Linked DNA regions of Oreochromis niloticus. The protein of the gene in region 2 binds, or shares a complex with, the protein of the main gene of each other region. Links are inferred from orthologs where the notes say so. Each region holds a gene or a part of one and is shown on either strand. Other genes may lie near its edges.

Region 1 (10,553 bases), on a different chromosome or scaffold from region 2:
TCACTCAAATAAGTCTCAAAATTAGGTGCACCGGGTTACCACGCAGAGCTTCATTTTACTAATACAATTGGAGTATATTTACATTTATCTGACATGGTTTGCATGCCTGTGTCTAGCTGACACCAGTGTTAGTATCCTGTGTCCATCCTCTTTGCGTAAACAAACTACTGATGGTTAAAATCTTTGATGGCTGCAAAGGCTTAAACAGAAAGACAGTTTATATGCTGGCTAGCCGGCTATTCAAACAAGGAAATGACAGATGGGTGCTCTGGTAGATTTCTGGTTACAGCGAGACAGACACAGTCGCTCCACATTACAGATTCCATTTTCTTTCAGAGAAGAATCAATATGCTGCATTTACAATGCTTTAGGCGTTTACACAGCATACTGCTACCAAGGGGAACAATCACACTTGTTGCAGTCTGTGCCGCCATGAGGTTTAATTAACACCTCTGAGCTGCACGTCCGCTGCAGCAGAGGCTAACGAGTGTGGCAAAGAATTTGATACGACTTGGAATTAAATCAGATCATATTAATCACTGCATTTCTTCCAATAATACATTTTATTAGTGCCTCTGTTCTGTATGAATTTGCTACAACAAATACCTGAGACTGGTACTCTGCGCTTGTCATGACCAAACTTGTCTACACATGTGGTATAGAAGGTGTTTAAGGCGACCTACAGTATAAAGCAGCTGGACAGGGGTGACTGGGCTGATGAAGACAGTTCTGAGACATCGAAGGCAAGCTTCAATGAAGATCAGGTCCGAAGATAAGAGACCTGCAAGCACACAGAGTACGTGTAATGTCACGTCACCTGCAGTATTTGCATACATCTGTGTGTGTGTGTTTGACCCAACCTTGAAGAAGGGCAGGGATGATGTGACAGTCCACCAGGGACTTGATGTTGTTCTCAGTGCCCATGGCGAGGCTTCCCAGCACCACAGCGCACTCTGTCCTCAGCTCCATACTGGATGAGCTCTGCTGCAGCAGGTATAATAACCTGGAGCCAACAGAGGGGGGAAGCACAGTCAGGGTTTCTGTAGGTTTTTAATAAGACAGTTGAATAAAGTCTTATCACTTCTATCCAATGCAATTTATATACAGAGCACTGAAACACAACAACAGTCACCTCAAGGCACTTTATACTGTAAGACAAAGAACCTACAATAGAAAATCCCAACAATAAGATGACCCCTCCATGAGCAAGCAGTTTGTGACAATGGAAAAGGAAAAACTCTCGTTTAACAGGAAGAAACCTCCGGCAGAACCATACATAGGAAGTGGAAACAGACAAATAAAGCCCCCAGCAGCCTATTTTTCTAGCCTTTGCCTAGAGAGGGCATCTGTCTCCCAACTCCAACCTGGGAGCCGGTTCAACAGAAAAACAAACCCTGCATAACCTGTAAGACATCGCAGAATTTACTACCAGGTTATACTGCATAGCTTTAACAGCTGTGCTGTAGTTTCATATTATTATGAACTACAACTTTACACTACTGTCAACAAAACAGACATCAGCATGTAGAACCTGGGGGTAAAAATAAACTTGGCCCTAACAGACCCTTTTAAGTATCCATCTACTCTGTATCTGTGACCAAATGGGTTCAGAGGATGGCTGGGGTAATGTACTGTGGTGAGTTTCATGCTCTGTTATGATGTCAAAGAGGTTGGGGGTTGCAAAACCACTGGACTTCAATAGCACCATAAGTGCTTTTAATGTGGTCCAACTTATTTGGTTGGAGGCACAGAAACAAGAGGGTAAGTGTGCCATGTTCCAACAGCTTCATGTAAGTGCATTAGAATGACTTTTCCAAAGGCCAAAAGAAGGAAGTAGAGAGCAGGAGCGTGTGAGAGGCGCGGGGATTCATACCTTGGCACGGCTCCGAGGACAATCAGATTGGCCTTTTGCTTGTTGTTTCCTATGACAGCGTTCTTCATGTCACTGTGAAGGCATACAAATACATCCAAATGAGACATGTGAATGTATTTGAAACAACATAATATAACCTTAAGAGTCAATATGAACACCTTGATTTATAGCATGTTATCATTTAATTGCTAAGTTATAAGCACATCAGGCTGACACAGGTCAGGCAGGCTGACAGACAAACAACAACAGAAATCATTGATATCAATCTCATGTTCTACATATTCTCATGTAACACATTAGAAATGAACAGGCTTCATCTAAGTGCATTTTCGCCCTGTGTGCTTCTGCTGCTGTTAGTACCTCCAGATGATATGTGATATCAAACTGCAGCGAAGTGAGTGGAAAAGCACACTGATCTAGGAGGCAGTTAAGGTGGTCAGGCGCTTGGCTAAAGAAGCGATACAAGTCGTAACCAGAGCTAGTCTCCCCGTAAGTTAAAAATAACTAAATAGTCCGAGTCCAAATCACAGCAGTCCAGACCAAGAGTGAGAGTGAGACACAAAGTCACAAACAGCTAAGCCTGTGCATGTAAGCACACACTCCTTCTGGAACACTGTTGTCACTAATGTTTAGAATTTGTGACATTAAAAACAAGCACATGTGTTGGTAAATGATAAACAGCCGGTGGAATTAAACTCTTAGCAACAACAACAGCTGAATTTAACATAACAGTGTGGACTGTTTGTTTTGGGGGGGTTTTAAACCACCGATTTCGTTCATTTTCAACAAAAAAGAAAGAAAAAAAAAAAAATCAGGAAAGCCCAAAGATGTGTTATTGCAGTGGCTGAATAAAGTCTGCAAACTGGAAGTAAGCAGAATTTCACAGCTGTCATTTACTGCCAAAAAATTACTTCAAACCTTGTCAACCCTTTTTTCCTGCACTTTGTAAAACAAAATTTAAAACAAGATCAAAAACAAACAAAACAGGACACGCAGAGATTTTTCTGCAATGTCTCCACCCACCCAACAGGTTTTGGCCTTTCACCAAGAGAATTAATGAAAACTGTGAAAAAAATATATGTAAGACTTCACTTTAATTTACAAGTTTGCATTTTGTGCATCAAACAAAAACAAAAAAACTCTATAAGATGCACAGACTTCTTGCCTTACCTATATAAGGTGCGACAGTATTTTTGTGTGTATTCACATAAGAACTATTCTGACACAGGAAAAACCCTGATCTACATGTGTATATGTCATACGCGATCAGACCCACACTTACATGACTCCCTGAAGCACTTTCTGTGGGTCGGGGTCAAACAGTCTGTCAACATAATGCCGACTGGTGGCGGTGACTTCCTGCATTAGAACAAAAAACAAAGCAAAAACACAAACATTACTTTTAGAAATCACTGACCTCACCCTGGATTTACCTTGTACAGTGTTTTTTCTCTACACTATCAAACGCTGTGCTCCACATCTGACAACAGACAAAGTGCACATATTTCAGCAGAGTAAAACCCTACGGAATTTGGTTTCTAACTGGACAAATATTAACCATTAAATAAACAATAATTAATTATACATAAAAAGGGCAGTTTTAAATTGTTATTTTTTACAACTAAAATAACACTTTTTGTGTTACACGCAGAGAAAAATACAGCAGGCTCCACGGCAGGAGCCTTTAAAAGCTTTTTGACACTGCACCCGGTGGCTGCATGCGACACCAGAAAACTTTGTTTATATCACTGGCAGCTTTGACCAGAACTTTCCGGAGAAGTCAACGTCCTCCAGCTGCCAACGAAGTCACACTTGTGATGCCAGCACGTAGCTCACAAGGTGTCCCAACACGTTCTGTACCTGTGTACCTCTCATTCAGACAGCCACTGTGGCAAACATTCATTTCACAATTACACAGCATTAAGCATGTATACACAATAAGGGATCAACTCGTGTTATAAAAAAAAAAAAAAAGAGTCAAGCTGAGATGCTAAAGTATCAGTTACCATGATATCTTCAATCACGCTGCCTCCTTTCTGCATACACCTACCATGGGGGGCGTTTCACTATTGCTCCTTACGCGCTTTTTCGTGGAACATTTTGCGTTATATTAGCCAAGTTACAGTTTGCAGTGAGTGTCACTTGCTAGAGTAAATCCCAGAGTCTTACCAGTTACTACAGCTCTGACTGCCGACACACTACATATAAAAACACCTCAAGAGTAAGGAAACCAGTGAGTTAGCAAAGTTTGCTTCGCTAGCTTAACCGTATGCTACAGTTGCTAATGTTACTTGCAGGAGCACCTAACGTTAGCTAGGTTAACAATGTTAAGTTTGCTATTGCAATTAAGACGGCGCATAACTTAAAATCAAATAATACTGAGTGGTTTGAATAAAAATCTCATTCCTACAACTTGTTATCCAATGTGCATGATGCATTCTATAAACGTGTTTTGACTACTGCAAAACTGGTGACAGCACTGGTACTCTTAGCAATTAGCTGCTAACTCATTCCGAGTAACACTGACAGCTAGTTTGTTCGCTTAATTTTGTTTTAGATTACAACGACGGGGCGAGCGGGCACAACTCGCATGTATTCCCTTTATTGTGTTCAGAATGTTCCCGCCCGCCCGGGGAACGCGAGGAAACAAGTCATTCTCTACAACAGCTACGTAGGCGGACCGCTACATGTTGCAATGCCTTTAACTTAGCTTTATGGCTAACAGAAAAACCTTTATACTTGACACCTTCTAGCTGACCATACAAAATCAGCTACTCGCAGTTGGCGCTTGCATTCTATAACCTGACACTGCTAGTTGAAATTATAAAGACTGGCACTCACAGACAGCACACTGATGCGGAGTGGGGCCTCCAATAAGCACGCCATCTCTCTTCCTCCGATGGAGCGCCCCAATCGGCGCAGCAGTCTGGAGACACTCCACCCCCCAGAGCAGCTTTGAGAGGCCTTTAAAAAGTAACTGTAGCCTAATCACACAACTCTTCGCTAGCGTTATTTCTAAAACAGGCCTCTATATTCTTCCGTAGGCTCAGCTGTGATGTCCCGTAGCAGATATGCAACAAAAACCAACACCGCTAACTTAGCGAGCTCTCTGACAGACCGTGGACTTGTCAATAAAGTAAATATTGTTTATAAACGTGACGTAGTTGCTGTCTGCTTGAATTTGATTCGACACAGTAGGTTGACTCGTGCGAACTATGCATCAGATTAAGGAATAAATATAAAAACGGTAATTTTTAAAATACAATATATTTTTAAATCAAGTCTTAGCAACAAGTATAGTAATATAATTCTACACATTTATAATGGAATCTACTGCTAGATACTAGAATTTGATGAAGAATTGCGCATGCGCTCGTATTGGTAGAGGCGAGGTGGGAAAATTCATTCTGTTCGTTTCTTCCACAAACATAAGCATGTTTTTTTGCACAAGTTTGCAACTTTATGGATTATAAACCGGCTCAAAATACTCGTTAATTATACTCCCATATTTGTAAGTACTCAATTCGTTTACTTTGCTCTGGTTTAACAAATTTCCTCCATGTACGCTGTCGAGTTGTTTCGCTTAATTACGTAGCCTAGCTAGCTGTTGCGTGTTGTATCGTAGGACCTGAGCTCCTAGTGTGAGGATACGAAGTAGAGGATTCTTAAAAGCAAGATGGGACACATTTGTCAGATTAAAAATAAATAAAAAATAAAAAGTGTCGTGCACTACTTACTGCACGTATTCAAGGGCTACCCCCCGGTGCAGCGTGCATTGTTGAGTCTTTAATGTGTTAAAAAAAGGTGCTAGGGTCATCTTCAGTTCGCATACCTTTCATTTAATTTATTGTTTCTAGAAAAATGAAACATGACAGTCCATCAGGAGCTCTGCTCACGCGCTAAAATTAAACGGGTGTCTACCCGATTGCTCCTGGATAGCTTTAGTCACATGGTAATTCATTAGCACTGTTTAAGATAATCCAACACCGTATTATAGGTTATTAAAGTCCCTTTCCACTGTGTGATTAAAGGGCAACTAAAACTATAATCCAACTAGATGTGAGAAAAAAAATCGCAACTGAAATGTATATTAGAACTAGAGTTTAGCGAAATTGTGTGTTAAGTGAAAGTAATCATCATCACCATTGTATGTCTTTATAGACTGCCAAATCATCTTTTAGGAGGCCGTGGACCTCAGCTTGACTGTGTCCACAGAGGCCGATGGTGTTTAGATGAGAACAGAAGCCATCCTTTAGTGTGAATGTGAATTTCTCTGCACGTTGGCAGATCATCTGTTTGCACAGGATGAAAATTGCAGTAGAAGGCTGTTGCCATGGGGAGCTGGACAAGATTTATGAGACAATTGAGTATCTGGAGCAGAAGGAAGGGGTGAAGGTGGACCTGCTGCTTTGCTGTGGAGACTTCCAGGCAGTGCGAAATGAGGGAGACTTGAAGTGCATGGCAGTGCCTGCCAAGTACAGAACCATGCAGACCTTTTACAAGTAAGTTCTTTGTTTATGTTGTGTGTTTTGTTTTTTTTTTTAAATCAAAGACACGAGTAAGGACATTTAAAACTTTATTATTGTCTGTGTTGCAGGTACTATTCTGGAGAGAAGGCGGCTCCGGTGTTGACCATTTTCATTGGAGGAAACCACGAGGCTTCCAATCACCTGCAAGAGCTGCCTTATGGAGGCTGGGTGGCACCAAACATTTATTATCTAGGTAGAGACTGACTGATTCCAAATTTGTTTGCCAGCTTGTCTGACTCGCCACAGGCCTGACCTATATAATCACATGTCCCCAGGTTATGCTGGTGTTATTCGCTACAAAGGGATCAGAATTGGTGGCTTATCTGGCATTTTCAAATCACGTGACTACAGAAAGGGTATTTGTTTTTGTTTGTTTAGCTTTTCAAATAGTTGAGGCTACACTGCTATGCATCATATTTACATGGAATGTTTTCACTTTAAGGCCACCATGAATTCCCTCCATATAATCCTGAAACGCTTCGAAGTGCATACCACATCAGAAATATCGAGGTTTTCAAATTAAAACAGGTAAATCTCACAAGTTCTTCCACAGAACTCTAAATGATTATCCACTTGTTTAGCTAAATGTACAGTGTTAATTTTACATGATTATTTCTGCTAAGATCCAGATGCCCATAGACATTTTCATGAGCCATGACTGGCCTCGTGGAATCTACTACTACGGCAGCACGAAGGAGCTGTTACGAAAGAAGAAATTCCTTCGTCAGGAGGTGGAGTCAAACTCTCTGGGAAGTCCTGCTGCAGAGGAGCTCCTAGCTCACCTCCAGCCTAGCTATTGGTTCTCTGCGCATCTTCATGTGAAATTTGCTGCCATTATGCAGCATCCGGTGAGGGTGACAGTTGTTCAGTTAGAATTACTGCTGCTAATAAGGATTTAAATAAGGTTTAAATCGTTCTAACTATCATTTTGGTGATCTCTTATTTTCAGCCTAAAGGTAAAAGTGCACCACACGTAACCAAATTCCTGTCTCTGGATAAATGTTTGCCCCACAGGGAATTCTTACAGGTGGGACAACTTTTTTTTTTAATTGATATATTAGGATCAGAGTCTGGGTTAAAGTGTGTGAGCTAACACCTTTTGTTTTTTCAGATTGTGGATATTCCTGAAAGACCAGGTTCATCTGAGGGTCTTGAATATGATCCAGAGTGGCTTGCTATTCTCAAGGCTACCAACACTCTACAGAGGACCACTCCTCACCCCTGGAACCCCCCAGAGAATAATGGCTTGCATGAACGGTACACACGAATACACATAAAAGTAACAAGGCCTGTAAAAGCAGAGTTAAGTTGCTGCTTGCATTATTTCAACAACATCAGTCTCCCAGAACTAAGACTTTGTAAAAACATTAGCTTGAACATAGAGTCAGTGTCATGCAGCAGGGGAAAGGTCACTCTGGAAGACAGGATCTGTGTAGGATGTTATCACCACCTGTGTTGCCTTGGCGAAATAAGCAACAAAAATAAGCTCTATGGGAAAAACAAGTTGGATATTTGCATGTTTTGTTTGGCAACATGTTCTCCACAAATTAATGCCACTTTTATGATTTTTTGAAGCGCAAGTAAAACGTTAATAACCAATAGGAGCACTAGAGCTAGTCACTGGAATTTTTTTTAAACTACAGTGCTCAGCTGTGTACAACGTCACGACAGAACAAGAATGAAGTTGCTGGTGCAGCTAGTTAGACCTGTGAAAGTTAGAGAGGGAGTATGAAACTCACTGCTTCAGCTGTTGGTTTTCATTCTTTTCCTTCTTCCCAAAGCCAGCAAGCACAACTGAGCGCGGAGCAATTTGTAGTGTGTCACACTGCTTAGTCATGGAAATACATTTGTATGTGTAGATGGTAACGAAAATAAAGCAGAAGGAAAGATTTCTCTGGACGCCAATATTTGCTTAAATCAGCTCAATGCATGTTTTCAGTGATGCCAAAACAATACTTCACATAGTGTCTTTGCGTCCATACAGGGAGATAGTATTGTGTAGCCTAATAATGAGCTGCCATGTTATTGGTTTATGGACAGGCAGAAATATAATGTAGTCTGAACCCAGCACTAAGTAACTACACCACAGTTGCATGAGTTCAGTGGCACCACCACCCAACAGAACTTTTATTTTGTCATTTCTGCTGACCTTTGCTTCAGATGCTTTTACTCATTATGACTGAGCAGTTTTTGTTCATGCTTTCTTTTATAATGTTGGCTTGCATACACCCATCAGGTGGGACTTCAGCGCTTCAGAAGCCGCTATGATGCAGGTGGTGGAGGATCTGAGCGGTGATCTTGGCATTCCAGACAACTTCAGTCTAACGGTGCCATCCTACAACCCCAACAAGCCCCATCCTCAGGCCACCCCGAGCTACAACACCAACCCTCAGACCACCGAGCTTTGCGCCAAGTTGGGTCTCACAGACATCTATGCACAGGTCGGGCGGGGAGAAGATGAGGTGGCGAGAGTTCAGGGCAGTACTGGAGGAGAGGATGACGATGACGAAGATGAAGATAGTTTGGGAAGTACTGACGAGCCCAGCGAGTATCCAACCGATACTTCAGGATTGTCAGGTTCATTTAATCCAGATGAGATCACCATAGAAGACGAGTGGGAGGAGGAGGAGTTGAAAGCAGAGGTGAAAGGGGACGAGCTTTTTGATGCCAAAGCAGGTGAAATCCACACACCCAGCCGTATGGTTCTACCCGAGCCCAAATGCGGCGTCTCGCCCCCTCCTCTGCCCGACCTCATGAACCTGCCGCCTCCTTCCCACTCTACCCCAGCTCACGCTCAGTTTGGAGCAGACAGGGCAGCACAGGGCAGCGGCGACGATGAGGACGTCACAGCTGCACGCATCCTAAAACGAACCAGCATTGAGAGTGGGGACGCTGGCAGCAGAGGCCCAACTCCAAGAATCAAACGCAGAAACCAGGTGATCTATACAGCAGCGGAGGATGATGAGTGTGAGGGATAGATAGGCAGTGTACACTTCTCCATTAGTTTATATTCATTAATTTATGTACCTGCAGCTACTCACACGAGCTGTTCAAAGCAGGGGCATGGCTTTATTAAAATGCCCGTAAAGGTGGACTGTACACAAGCAAAGAGAATTAGTTTCTGGATTCAGTTTCCACAGAAATTATACCCACCAAAAATGTTTCGTTGTTTAAATATGATTTTTATGTATTTTAAGCCAACCAGATTTTTTAGGACATTGATTTTTTTTTTCTGACATTGTAATTTCAAGATGATTAAAGAGGCCAGAAAGATGAGAACAGCTTTTTTTTTTTTAAAACAGAATAATGACTTCACAGCTTTATTGAACACTTACATATCGTAGGTGCTGATGGAAAAAGCAAGTCTTTGTTTTAATTACTTGTCATCTTACTCGTACAGACCACTGAACCTACGTTAAAACACTGAACAATGACAGTGGATGCCGTTTCTTGTATATAATGAGCTGTTAGTGTTGAGAAGAGCTGCACTTTTTTTTTTAAGCCTTCCATTTGCATACTATTTGAAAATTGTTTTAATGAGACTTCAGTTTTCCTCATCAAAATGCTTGGATGTGAAAATAAAGCCGAAGAAAAGATTTCTCTGGACACAGATGTGTGTTTAAATCCCACTGATTTATAACATTGATCAGAGTCCTTCCAGGTTCACAAGTGTGCTCTGCTAAAAATCAACAAACATTCTCAGTGAAATTAAGACAATATTTAACATACAGTGTATTCGACAGGATCTCTACATCCATACAAAGAGCCAGTACAGTATAGCCTAATGACGGGGTGCCAGGTTTTTGGTTTATGGTGCAAACCAACGTCAGGGAGTAGTCTTGTGCCTTGTCTGCAAAGCACACACTCAAAGAAAGCCCCAAACATGATTGACAGAAAGAAAACGGGGAGTAGGCACTTCTGTTTTTTTTTGTGTGTATTTTTTAATCTATTCTTTCCTAATTTTCTTCAGCCAAGCCTTTGACAGCCACTGAGCACACAGCTCATTCTAGTAAGGTAAAGGAAACAGTTATGTCATTTAAGCTGAACACAACATGTGCAGATATACTCCAGACCAAGGAGGTTTATTACAAGCCTCATACTCGAAACCAAACAGGGAGGACAATGGAAATTAAGCAATTCCTTGACATTTG
Region 2 (10,350 bases):
TATTTTTTTGGAAGACATCGCAGGCTCTTAGTCAGTTTTATATCCAGGCTATCTATTAAATGTTTTACTCTAAAAGAAGTTTGAACAAATTGTAGGTCATTTTATTGGTTATTATTTGATACACTGAGTGGGCCACCACACCTAAGATCAAGTTTGTCTATTCATGGCCCCTCTTCTTATTGCTTTTGTCTAGTTTCAAACAAAAATAACCACAAATAATGCTGGTTGCCAGTTTGAAAATTTTTCGACAGTTTGCCTAACCACTTTATGAACCACTCACTGTCATCTATGAGCCCAAACTATTAACACTGCTGAAAGTAATGTGCATGTCTGGAATGTTTAGAGCTGGTCTTACCCATCTCTGCCTTTACTGATGATCTTCACCTCAAAGTAGTAGACCCCGCAGGCAGCTGGGATAGGGTGGGTGGCCCGCACTGATGCAGCATCTTTGGGTGTTTTTCCATGACCTTTAGGTTGCGGTAAAACACAGAAGTGCGCAGTTAGTACAAATGACTATAGTTCATGAGATACATGTGCTGAGTGCCAAGACACAGAGAGGCCTCTCTGCAGTTACTCTGGCTAAGGACCAAATATCACTTTAATTTAAAGCCCAGTTTACGATGTATGTAGGGTTTGTTGCCATGAGAAGCTGTGTAAGGGATTAAATCGCAAAGGCTAGCAATCATTAAGTCGGATCAAAACGTTTGAGAAGCACAAAACACACCTGACTAGCAGATTTACCCACCAATGGAAAAAATAGATATAAACTGAGAAAATAATGTCAGAGTTACATTGAGATTGGATCAGAAGAGAGGTAGGGACTCTGCAGAGACAATACACTATAAAAATTTTACAACCCAAGTCTGGATCTATAAATAAAAGCAGCCTGAAGGAAAATACTGGATGTCCCACTATTTGTCGAGATGCATTATTTTACTTGTAAGTACTGCATAATTTACTTTCCATGGTGACATATTTTCCACATTCAATGGTCTGCCATTAAGAATATGTGGATGAACATACTATAAAAACATATACAGGTTTGTATCACTCAAACTGTCCGAGTGATAGAGAAATATTATGCTAATATAACAGGTGACATTTTTATAAACACACAAGCAAAGGGTGTGTCGTTGGTGAGAAGATTGTCACTCCAAACGTCATGAATTTGAGCGGCTCATAATCTCAGTCTTTAAGGTTAACATTAGCTCAGGAAGCCACAGTGTAGAGCTATTAACAGCATCATGAAGGTTAAAAATCACATGTTTACACTGCTGTATGTTACTCAGTAGCTGTGTTTAGGTACTACAATAGATAGTCAAATAAACTGGTTTTTATTAATAAGGGTCTAAATATCATTAGAGAGGGAAATTCTCAGTTTGGTGAGGTATGCTGCCAACAGAATATCTGACAATATGCAATATATTTACTTAATGGCTGGTTCTTTATATGTAGGATATCAACAATAAACAGCAGCATCACTTGACCTGACTGCCTTCATGTAAAAACAACATACATTTACAAATGTATGTCCAGACCATAATACAGGCCCTGAGTTTACAATACAATTAGTCATAATTTAAAGATTTCTTTAAATGCTTTTGTATGTCTTAATAAAGACACTTGGTTACTTATCACAGTTAAGTTAATTTAATTTTTTTTTTTTCCCAAATACCCAGAACCACATTCAAATATAAAAAAACATATACTAGATGTAGATCAAGTGAAGTAAACACCTCACCTCCATTTCACAAATTTTCTACTGGCAATATGGCTCCCAGATCGAAAGAGCAATAGGAAAACACAACCATTAAAATTTTACCATGGCATGAAACATTATTTTCAATTAATTTATTAGTCAACTCAATCATTTAATCTTTATAATTACATAGAGTTTAAAGATGATCAGCTTACACTTCTGAACCCAGAATTAACAGTGGTTTCCATTTTTGGTAAACATAAGTCTTGAACTTATTAATCTGTAACCAAAATAGCTAAGCCATTAGAGTCGGGTAAATGAACCGATCAATAAATTAATCAGTACTGACTAAAAACAACGACCATGTTAATTATTAAGTGTGATTACAAATAACCTGTATTAATATAGCATTATCATTAATTACAGACATTATTACAGAGCGGTTAATTGGTAACACAGTGTTTACAGAACAATAACTTGTGTAGATTTTCTACTCTTCTTTTAAGCATTGTCTGTTATACAAACTTCTGCACAGTAAAGCTGTTTAAAACAGTTTTTGGGTGTGAGGTGTACAAATGTGAATTATATCACTGAGTAACACGAATGCTATTCTCTCTTGCTCTGATAACATTTTTCTGTTATTACTGTATTAACCTATGACACATTATTTTCTCAAATATAAAATTTATGCTTTTTGTCCATAAAATGTCAGAAAAAAGATAAATGGTGAAAAATGTGCGTTGTAATCTTCCAAAACTAAATCTTAACCCACCAAAGAATTATTCATTTTCTAGCCAACTACACCACTAAATATTAGCATTTAACCACGTGAATTGTGAATATGTGTATTTAAAAAATGTTTACATAACTGACATTTCAGTTTGTAAAGTATTTGCTATTTTACATTACAAATGTATTTTACATTTCTGGTAGGCCTTTGGACACAGCTGACATTTAGTTTCAGTAGAACTCACAGAACAATCTTTTCAGAGGGTTTTATATGAGAATTTATATGTGGAATTGGAACCACGACCATCTACCTAAAATCAAAGGGTTTCCATTTACAACTATGCCATTCTGTTAAAACATGGTTAATCACAGAAGGCCTGAATTTTAGAGCTTAACACTGCTGTTAGAATAAACTGTTCAGTAAGTGGAGAAATGCTCCCTGGAGGTCAGTACATGTAAAAGTTTTACAGTGTTTGAATGTTTAAGTTGCAGCTGCTGTAAGAAATTCAGGTGGATTTGTTGCACAAAGGCAGAACATTCTAGTTGCAACAAGGAAGAGTGAGTGCAGAGGGCCAGACAGACCCAGAATAGTAGTACACACCCAGGAAGCAGTTGCACCTTTAAAAAAAACAAAAAACCCAAAAAACTCCACTAGCCTTTTCTTGTAGGCCTGCACCAGAAAAAGAAAAGAAAAGAAAGAGAAAAAGCCCTCTTGGTAGCCTTGCTAAGAAACTAGTCCAACTATCTCTGCATATCCTATCAACACTAGCCACTTCACTGGAAGCCTAGCAGAGCCTCTGACCGGGCTAATCACGATATTTGACACAGCATTTCCTGACAATAATAAATAAAATAATGCTACATTAGCCTAACAGAGGGTTGTCAAGCTCTGGTTCATTTTGGATAACACTGAACGTTGTAATTTTGGCACTCAAACCATCAGATGTACTTTGGCTAAGGATGATTTTTTAAAATATATATTTCATAAGATAGTTCGCCAGGTTGTCTGTCGTGAAAGCTTCCCGTGACTATAAATGGAGCTGACAAGCTGTTTAACAAGGTAGCAGGAAGGCTAACAAGCTAGTAGGTCAATTTTGGCTGTGGCTACACCTCGCCAGCTGGTCGGGTTGCAAGATGTCCTCTGTCTTGTTGTTGGTGAAGCTGCTAGCTTAGCAGACTTTGTTTTTAGCCTCAACGGCAGTTGGCTTTGATCCGCTAACCGTCAAGCTAAGCTAACATGTCGTTAGCATTTGGTAACACAAGTACAGAAATTCCCGATTAAGGCTTTCTGTCATACCTTTATAGTGTACACGGAGGTTGTTCTGAGACAGTCCGATGTAGCTGAACTTGTCCTTCGGGCTCCAGGATCGGGGAAGTGGAGTCTCGTTTTCGTTAACGGCCGGATAGAGCCGTCGGAGCCGTTGATTGAGCTCTTTTTCCTGCTCGTTCAGAGCCGAGTCTCCGTGGACAACTACCGACATCAGAAACCCACCGCCGGATGACTGTCCAGACATGGCTACGACACGAGTTTTAGTAAACTGGCTTGTCAGCAACAAGCCAGAACCACTTGTGTCCGTCAGTGTCAAGTTTTAAAGGGGAGTTAGCAAAGCTAGCGAGCTAGGAAGCTAAGCTAATTGGCTTCGCTGGTTGTTGCAGAGAGGCAGCCAGAGCTGGTTAGCCGAACAGCTAACCTGGCTAACGCGTTTAGCTTGGCCAGCAAAGGCGAAGCGATAGCTGAAAATGGCTCAGGTTGACATTAGGTCTGACTAAAACACAAATAGAAACAAGAGGATGAGACTGCCCCACCGGATCTGAGCGAAGAAGTTTAAAAAAACAGGGAGCTAGTCGTTGCTGGGGGCAAAGTAACTACTAACGTTAGCCTAGACGGATCGACAAAGTATGATGAGCTCGGCTAGCCTCGATCTTTTGTTTGTTGTCGGAGCATTATCCGCTGATCTGATTGGCTGAGAACAGCTCCACTCACTTCCTATGGGAATGTGAAGTAAATACACAGAGTGAGCTAAAAACTATCTTATCAGTAGATTACAAGGTTAACACTGTCAGCAAGCCTTCATGATTAGTGTCATCATAATTGTTTTCAGTTTTTAAGCTCTATCATTACTGTTACCTTTTTATTGTTGATGTTTCTAAACTAGATTTGCATTTAATTATATGTTTTTCTTTTTAATATCCTATGACAATGTAAGGTGAAAAATCTATATGGTCTTAATTTGGAAGTTCTTTTTTTTCTCTTTTATCTACCACTTACTCCACCCTATCCACTTCTTTGGGTGGAAGCCAGAATACTCAGAGGGAACCCACAAAGACACAGAGAGAACATGCAAACTACAGGAGAGGCAGGAAAGGCTGGATTTGAACCCAAGACCTTCTTGCTGCAAGGTCCAGGTGCTAACCACCATGCTAACCACAATTTGAAGGTGTCACTTTAATTATTTATTTCAGTTTTAATAATATAAACAAACATACAAAGAGCTTTTGGCAACCATATGAAGGAAGAACTCCTATTTAACAGGAAAGAGACTTCAAGTCAGGCTTGGGGAAGGGCAGCTATCTGTGGTGATCAAGTAGGGGGATTAATGGAAAGGAAATACGGAAAAGAGGAGCATGGAGAGATAATAAAACAAAAACAAAGCTACTTTCAGCTACACCATATTCAAAAGTAGTCACCATGGCCAGTTGTGCTGCATGATTGATTGGGCCATGGTGGCTACCAAATACCCGGAACACCAAAGGGAGGTCTTGTCAGGATTCGTGGTTCAATTCACCTTGCATTTCCTCCTGGAATCAAACCAGGTATCTTACACTTGTTTGTCAAATATGTACACCACTCCACTATGGAACCACATGAATAAAAAACCCTGGTCCTCCACCAGCCCTACTCTGTAGCATTAGAAGGATTTCTCTCACTTGAAGGATTTTCAGAGAGCATATAGAGTAGCTTGATAATAATTAATCACAGTAAGCACCATATCTATAGATGTGCCTTCTTCTAGTTTATTAACAGTGTACTGCACATTAATTGCATTTTTATTTTTGCCTGCAGTCTCACACATGTTGACAGCCAGGGTTTTATTGGGGCTAATTTTATTTAATTTTTCAATTTTTGAAATCTTCATTTGTCGGATTTACATCTAATTACTACATTATATCAATGACTGTTTGCTTCATTAAAATACATTTCTTTGTTTACATTGATTTTTTGTTTTTTGTACTGTGGACAAGACTGAACCAGTATTACTTTATAAAAGATGATTATCAAATAATTGCTAACATGAAGAAGTTTATTTAGTCAAATTGCTTTTTTGGCAAATGTTTAAAGGATTTTCATCCAACTATGTTCAGTTTACATCCCTGTATTTCTATTTTTGCTGCACTGTAAACAGTGATGCCCCGGTAATACATATTGGTACCCTCATTGGGCAGAAGTTAAACATAATTACAGCACATGTAACTTGCAAACAGCAACTGAATGCAACATATAGTAGATTGCACAGGTAATAAAGGTGGAGTAAAGGTTGATACTAATGATGCTACGCTTAGGGTATAAACAAAAAGTTCAAAATCTTGATTAAGGTTGGAGTGGCGGGTTTTACCATTCAAATACCCTTCACCAACCCCGACCTCCACTAGGTACAAGTGTCCTTTCCTTCTCTGAAAAAATATTAGCACTTTCTTCAGAGTTTACTGTGCTTCATGTAATCGCTAACTGTTAAATAAACATGAATTTATTCTGCAATGTGTACTATGAATGTATCAGGTAAATTAAAAGACATTCTGGTATCTAAAAATGACCTCTTACCATTTTGTGTTGCTATTTGGCAGTGTTTTTCTGTTGTGAGAAAATGTTATGGGCTAATCAGGGAGGTGGTTGGGGTGGATGGTGGCTGTACAAACACAGGCCAGAGACAGTGAGGGGTAATTATGTAGCCAATGTTTAAGGAAAGGTGGTTTTTGAATTCAGTGTTAATAAAGTCGTATCTTATGATTAAAGTGGTCTTTTTATGTAATAATCTTTCCCTAACCTTGTATTTTTTTAAAGGGCCTATTAACATTACAGTAAAAAGGATTTAGCATCAGTGTTTTGAACTTTAAACTGACATGCAGCTAATAAAATTCCTATGAATTAACAGAATATTTTTGTGTGGGGCCTCTCTGGGTGTAGTTCAGCACTAATCCAGCCTGTTAGTTGATATTTTAATAGTTAAATTAAAGGAAACCAGCTCAGTCAAAACACACACAGACAGAAAGTAAAACAAAAGCTTGGCAGTAATACATAATTCATGCCTGCCAGTGAATGAACTAAAAACAGTTGTTTTAAAGATTGTGTTTTGTCTTGTTTTTGTTTCCAGCAGCTCTGATCACTGTTATAAACTAAAGGGGTTTTTTTTTGTTTTGTTTTGTTTTGTTTGGCTCACATGGTCTGTGAATGTCCCTCGCGCCAACATGTGGGAATGTTCATTGCATCACTAAAAAGGAATCTGAAATGATGTTACGCTCCCTGTAGGGAAGCAGTTGCTCACATTCACATCCCCTGGAAAACACACACATTAGGCCTTGGCTGTTTATCATCAGCAAGACGTGTGCCGTAGAAGCAGAATGGGTACAAATTGTGCTGGGAACAGCTCCTCAGTGTCTTAAACAAATGATTAAATAAATAATAGTGCAACAGAAATGAAAGCTCGGATTTGAAACCAGTGGGGAAAAATGTATTCATCTATAAACTATGAAGCTATTTATTCTATTATTGTTTTTTTAGAGAGGGATATTTTCACTTATCATCTTATATTCAGCAGCTCAAACACAAAAAGGCTAATGACACATCAATGAATCAGTATAAACCAAGAGCATAGCAAAATAAGCTATAAAAACAGTTTGTACAAGCAAAGTATTTTAAATCAACAGCAATATTTTACAGAAATAATGATTTCCATACATTGAGAATCTCTGGTTTGTGTATCCTTTTGAACGATATTAAACCAGGAAGTGAAAGTGATTAAGAATCTCTTTTACAGAATTTACCAGAACCCTCGAAAGTAAGAACAAAAGTCCACACAGAAGGGCTCTGCTGGGTTTGACCCTCTTCCTGTGTTAACCGAGCCACATCAAGGCTTAGCTTCAGTGCTTTTTTTTGTAATTTAATTCTGTATTTATCCATTATAATATTCCATATTGATCACATTTTAGTTTGTACTGATTTTACATGAAAATGTTCTGGGTGTTGCAAAATGAAGAGGAATAAAACTGTAAGAAAATAAAGAACAAAAGTTTCTAAAAAGGAATTCAGAGCAGAATAATCAAATAAAGTGGTATTTAAAGCTTGCCTTCTAACCACTGGTGACGCTGTGTAGAGCGATGTAATAAAGCCCCTGTATGTATGCATATGTATACGTCACAATATGCTGTTTATGCTTTTCCACTAATCAAATGAATTAAAACACATAATTAAAAATTTATGATTTTGTAGGTTTATGTGACTAAGAATCTGTACTTTATTGCATGATGTGAAATAACTTCAGTTTGTTTTTTGTTAGCACTTTTATTTTGTGCTTCTGCTTCCCATGCACAAAATGTTGTATTAAAAAACTTTATATTGTTTATATTTTATATATATGATATATTATTTATATGTCTATATTATTTGCCATTGCTTTCAGTTCTTAGTGGTAATTAACTTGACAGAACATAATATACTTCCAGGAGCACCTTTCACTTTTCTTTTGCTCTTTGTGGTGTAGAAGTTAACACACTCACTTGATAAGTAGAAGGTTGCTGGTTCAGTTCCAGCTGCAGGCACCCTTTGGAGCTGTGACAGGAATGCCACCTGGTGCCAAATCCACCTGTTCAACTGCTTATGCAAATATCTAATTAACCAATTCTTCAACTCAATAGATTGAGACTTTAACATGTGGTCAAGACAACTTCTGATTGACAATGGATGGATGGAACATAATAACATGGATGCCTGAACTGTTGATACAAGAACCAGGAGAACCAGAAGATTCTCATCATGCGGCAACTGCGTGATGTCATCATGTCAATATGGACCAAAATCTGTGAGAAGTAGTTTCAACCCCTTGCTCAGTTTATGCCACAAATGATTAAGGCAAAAACTAGTCTAACCCAGTAAAGTGTATCTAATAAAGTGGCTGGTGGTTGCATGTGCACCAGAAGAAAAAGGTACATATTTGCACTATTTCTTCTAGATTTCCATGTGTAATATAAGAAGATAGTCCGTGTCCAAGCAAATACAAAAGAGTTAAAGTTAAAATACAATTTTATATTTTAACATTTAAGAAAATGTTCTTAATTAAAGATAAATTCAAAAGTTTCATCCTGCATCTCTCTTGTGTGCATATCCAAAGGATTGAAGATTGAAGAATTGTAGATGTAGGAGGAATAAATTGTCGTATGGTCAGCAAGACAAGTTGTAAATAAAGGCCAGTGCATTTCTGAGTGTATGAGTAATGTTAAGATAAAAACATGAGTAATTCTGTAGTCAATTTTGCACTTTTAAAAGGTTTGTATTTGTATTATTATATTAAGGTAAAACAAAACATGCATCAGAGGTTCAAGATTATTTTAATAATCCACAAATTATAGCAGTGCAATGTTATTCACCTCATACACATTTATTAGCCCAGCTTGTTTTTGACTCGGGTCTCTCAGTCAGTTATCTCTCCAGACGTCTCCACTCCAGACAATACCAAGTAAGCATGAAAACATGACTGTTAATTTGACTGTCAAACTTACAGTGTAAACACTGCTGTTACACTTGCACCAAAATCTTAAACAACAGTCTGAGCTGGTCTGAAGCAGATTCTAACTGTTTTAATTAACAGAGATGGTCTGTCAGTTATCAGTCACCCCATTAGCTGACATCTTTTTGCAAGGATTAACAGCCTGAATAAAGACACTGGAAATAAAGACTTTTGCAAGGACAGGACATCCAGCAAAACCTCAGCAGTGAAGGTGGATGTTGGGGTGGATGGTCACAGCACCATCTGGTGGCTCAGACTAATAATACAGTACACTGTGAACAGACGTTAACAGCAGAGATCCCACGTCTTAAAAAACACTCTAGCTTAATGTTTGACTAATTATATCAGCTAGATCCTGCTTTTCCCTCTAATGTTAGTTATCAGCAAATATTATTATTATTATGCCTTCTTTTATTCTGTTTGAGGGAATTAATCATTTTAGCTGGCAGGGCTTTAATCGGAACAAAATGATTTGTCCCTCTGACACAGGCAATGAGTGTGTTTAAAATCAAATTTAAGATCTCAGAGACAATGTTTAAGATCTCTGCTGCTGATCTGCAGTTGCGTTTTACATATTATATCTCCATTAAAGGTACCTATTGTGTTTTTTCTCATTTTCTTTCAGATATGTACTGCTGCAGTGGCGGATGCTCGTGCCTAAACATGGCCAAAATTTCAAATGATGATGTTAGTCATGTGAAAGTAATCCCAATCAGCCAAAAGTTCAGGCTGATCTAAATACTCTGTCAGTTTTATTTTTAATCTTCACTCTGCATGATGACAGGATAGCTCTAATATGATCATCTCAGGTACACAGCTCTGGCTGTGACCACAGGAGCTGCACCCACCTTTGGTTCAAACCTTATGTTTGCCACTCATGCCACTCAGAAGAAAGCTGGCTGCTTAATACCTAACCTGATGTATCAGGGAATAGTTAAAGAGGACACCTTGTATGTAAATCAGCCACACCAATGTGGAGATGAGAACAGTCTATACATTCCTTTAGATTTTGAACTATAACGTCATAATGCATTAAATTAAACAGATTCCTTCAGAAGTAGTGTTTTAGTCAAAGCTATCTGACATTTTGAGCTTTATTAGGTAAGTGATTATCAGCCTAAAAATTGCACAAATTAAGATGTA

Evidence for each region.
Region 1: the proteins of ranbp9 (region 2) and armc8 are in contact, whole or in part, in a cryo-EM structure (PDB 7NSC), measured with the Homo sapiens proteins. The link is inferred for Oreochromis niloticus from reciprocal best matches to the Homo sapiens genes RANBP9 and ARMC8. Residues at the interface, in NP_005484.2 of Homo sapiens: Tyr271, Gly298, His299, Ser300, Leu301, Gly302, Ile303, Asp337, Asp340, Tyr341, Arg343, Glu344, Thr347; in NP_001350870.1 of Homo sapiens: Gln245, Arg246, Asp247, Val277, Leu278, Lys279, Ile317, Ile320, Thr321, Asp322, His323.

The regions. Positions count from the first base shown.
Region 1 is NC_031987.2:32,720,082-32,730,634, reverse strand, and holds the start of armc8 (armadillo repeat-containing protein 8), read right to left. Parts: upstream 4,924-10,553; 5' UTR 4,760-4,923; coding exon 4,715-4,759; intron 4,402-4,714; exon of another isoform or gene 3,927-4,401; coding exon of another isoform or gene 3,924-3,926; exon of another isoform or gene 3,916-3,923; coding exon of another isoform or gene 3,880-3,915; intron 3,233-3,879; coding exon 3,156-3,232; intron 1,946-3,155; coding exon 1,874-1,945; intron 1,004-1,873; coding exon 861-1,003; intron 782-860; coding exon 684-781; intron 1-683. Other genes in the region: dbr1 (lariat debranching enzyme), read left to right, coding at 4,929-5,009, 6,161-6,375, 6,471-6,595, 6,678-6,758, 6,845-6,930, 7,026-7,250, 7,352-7,429, 7,514-7,659 and 1 more. UniProt on the Homo sapiens protein: Component of the CTLH E3 ubiquitin-protein ligase complex that selectively accepts ubiquitin from UBE2H and mediates ubiquitination and subsequent proteasomal degradation of the transcription factor HBP1.
Region 2 is NC_031982.2:31,500,054-31,510,403, reverse strand, and holds the start of ranbp9 (ran-binding protein 9), read right to left. Parts: upstream 4,403-10,350; 5' UTR 3,943-4,402; coding exon 3,726-3,942; intron 468-3,725; coding exon 356-467; intron 1-355. UniProt on the Homo sapiens protein: May act as scaffolding protein, and as adapter protein to couple membrane receptors to intracellular signaling pathways. Acts as a mediator of cell spreading and actin cytoskeleton rearrangement.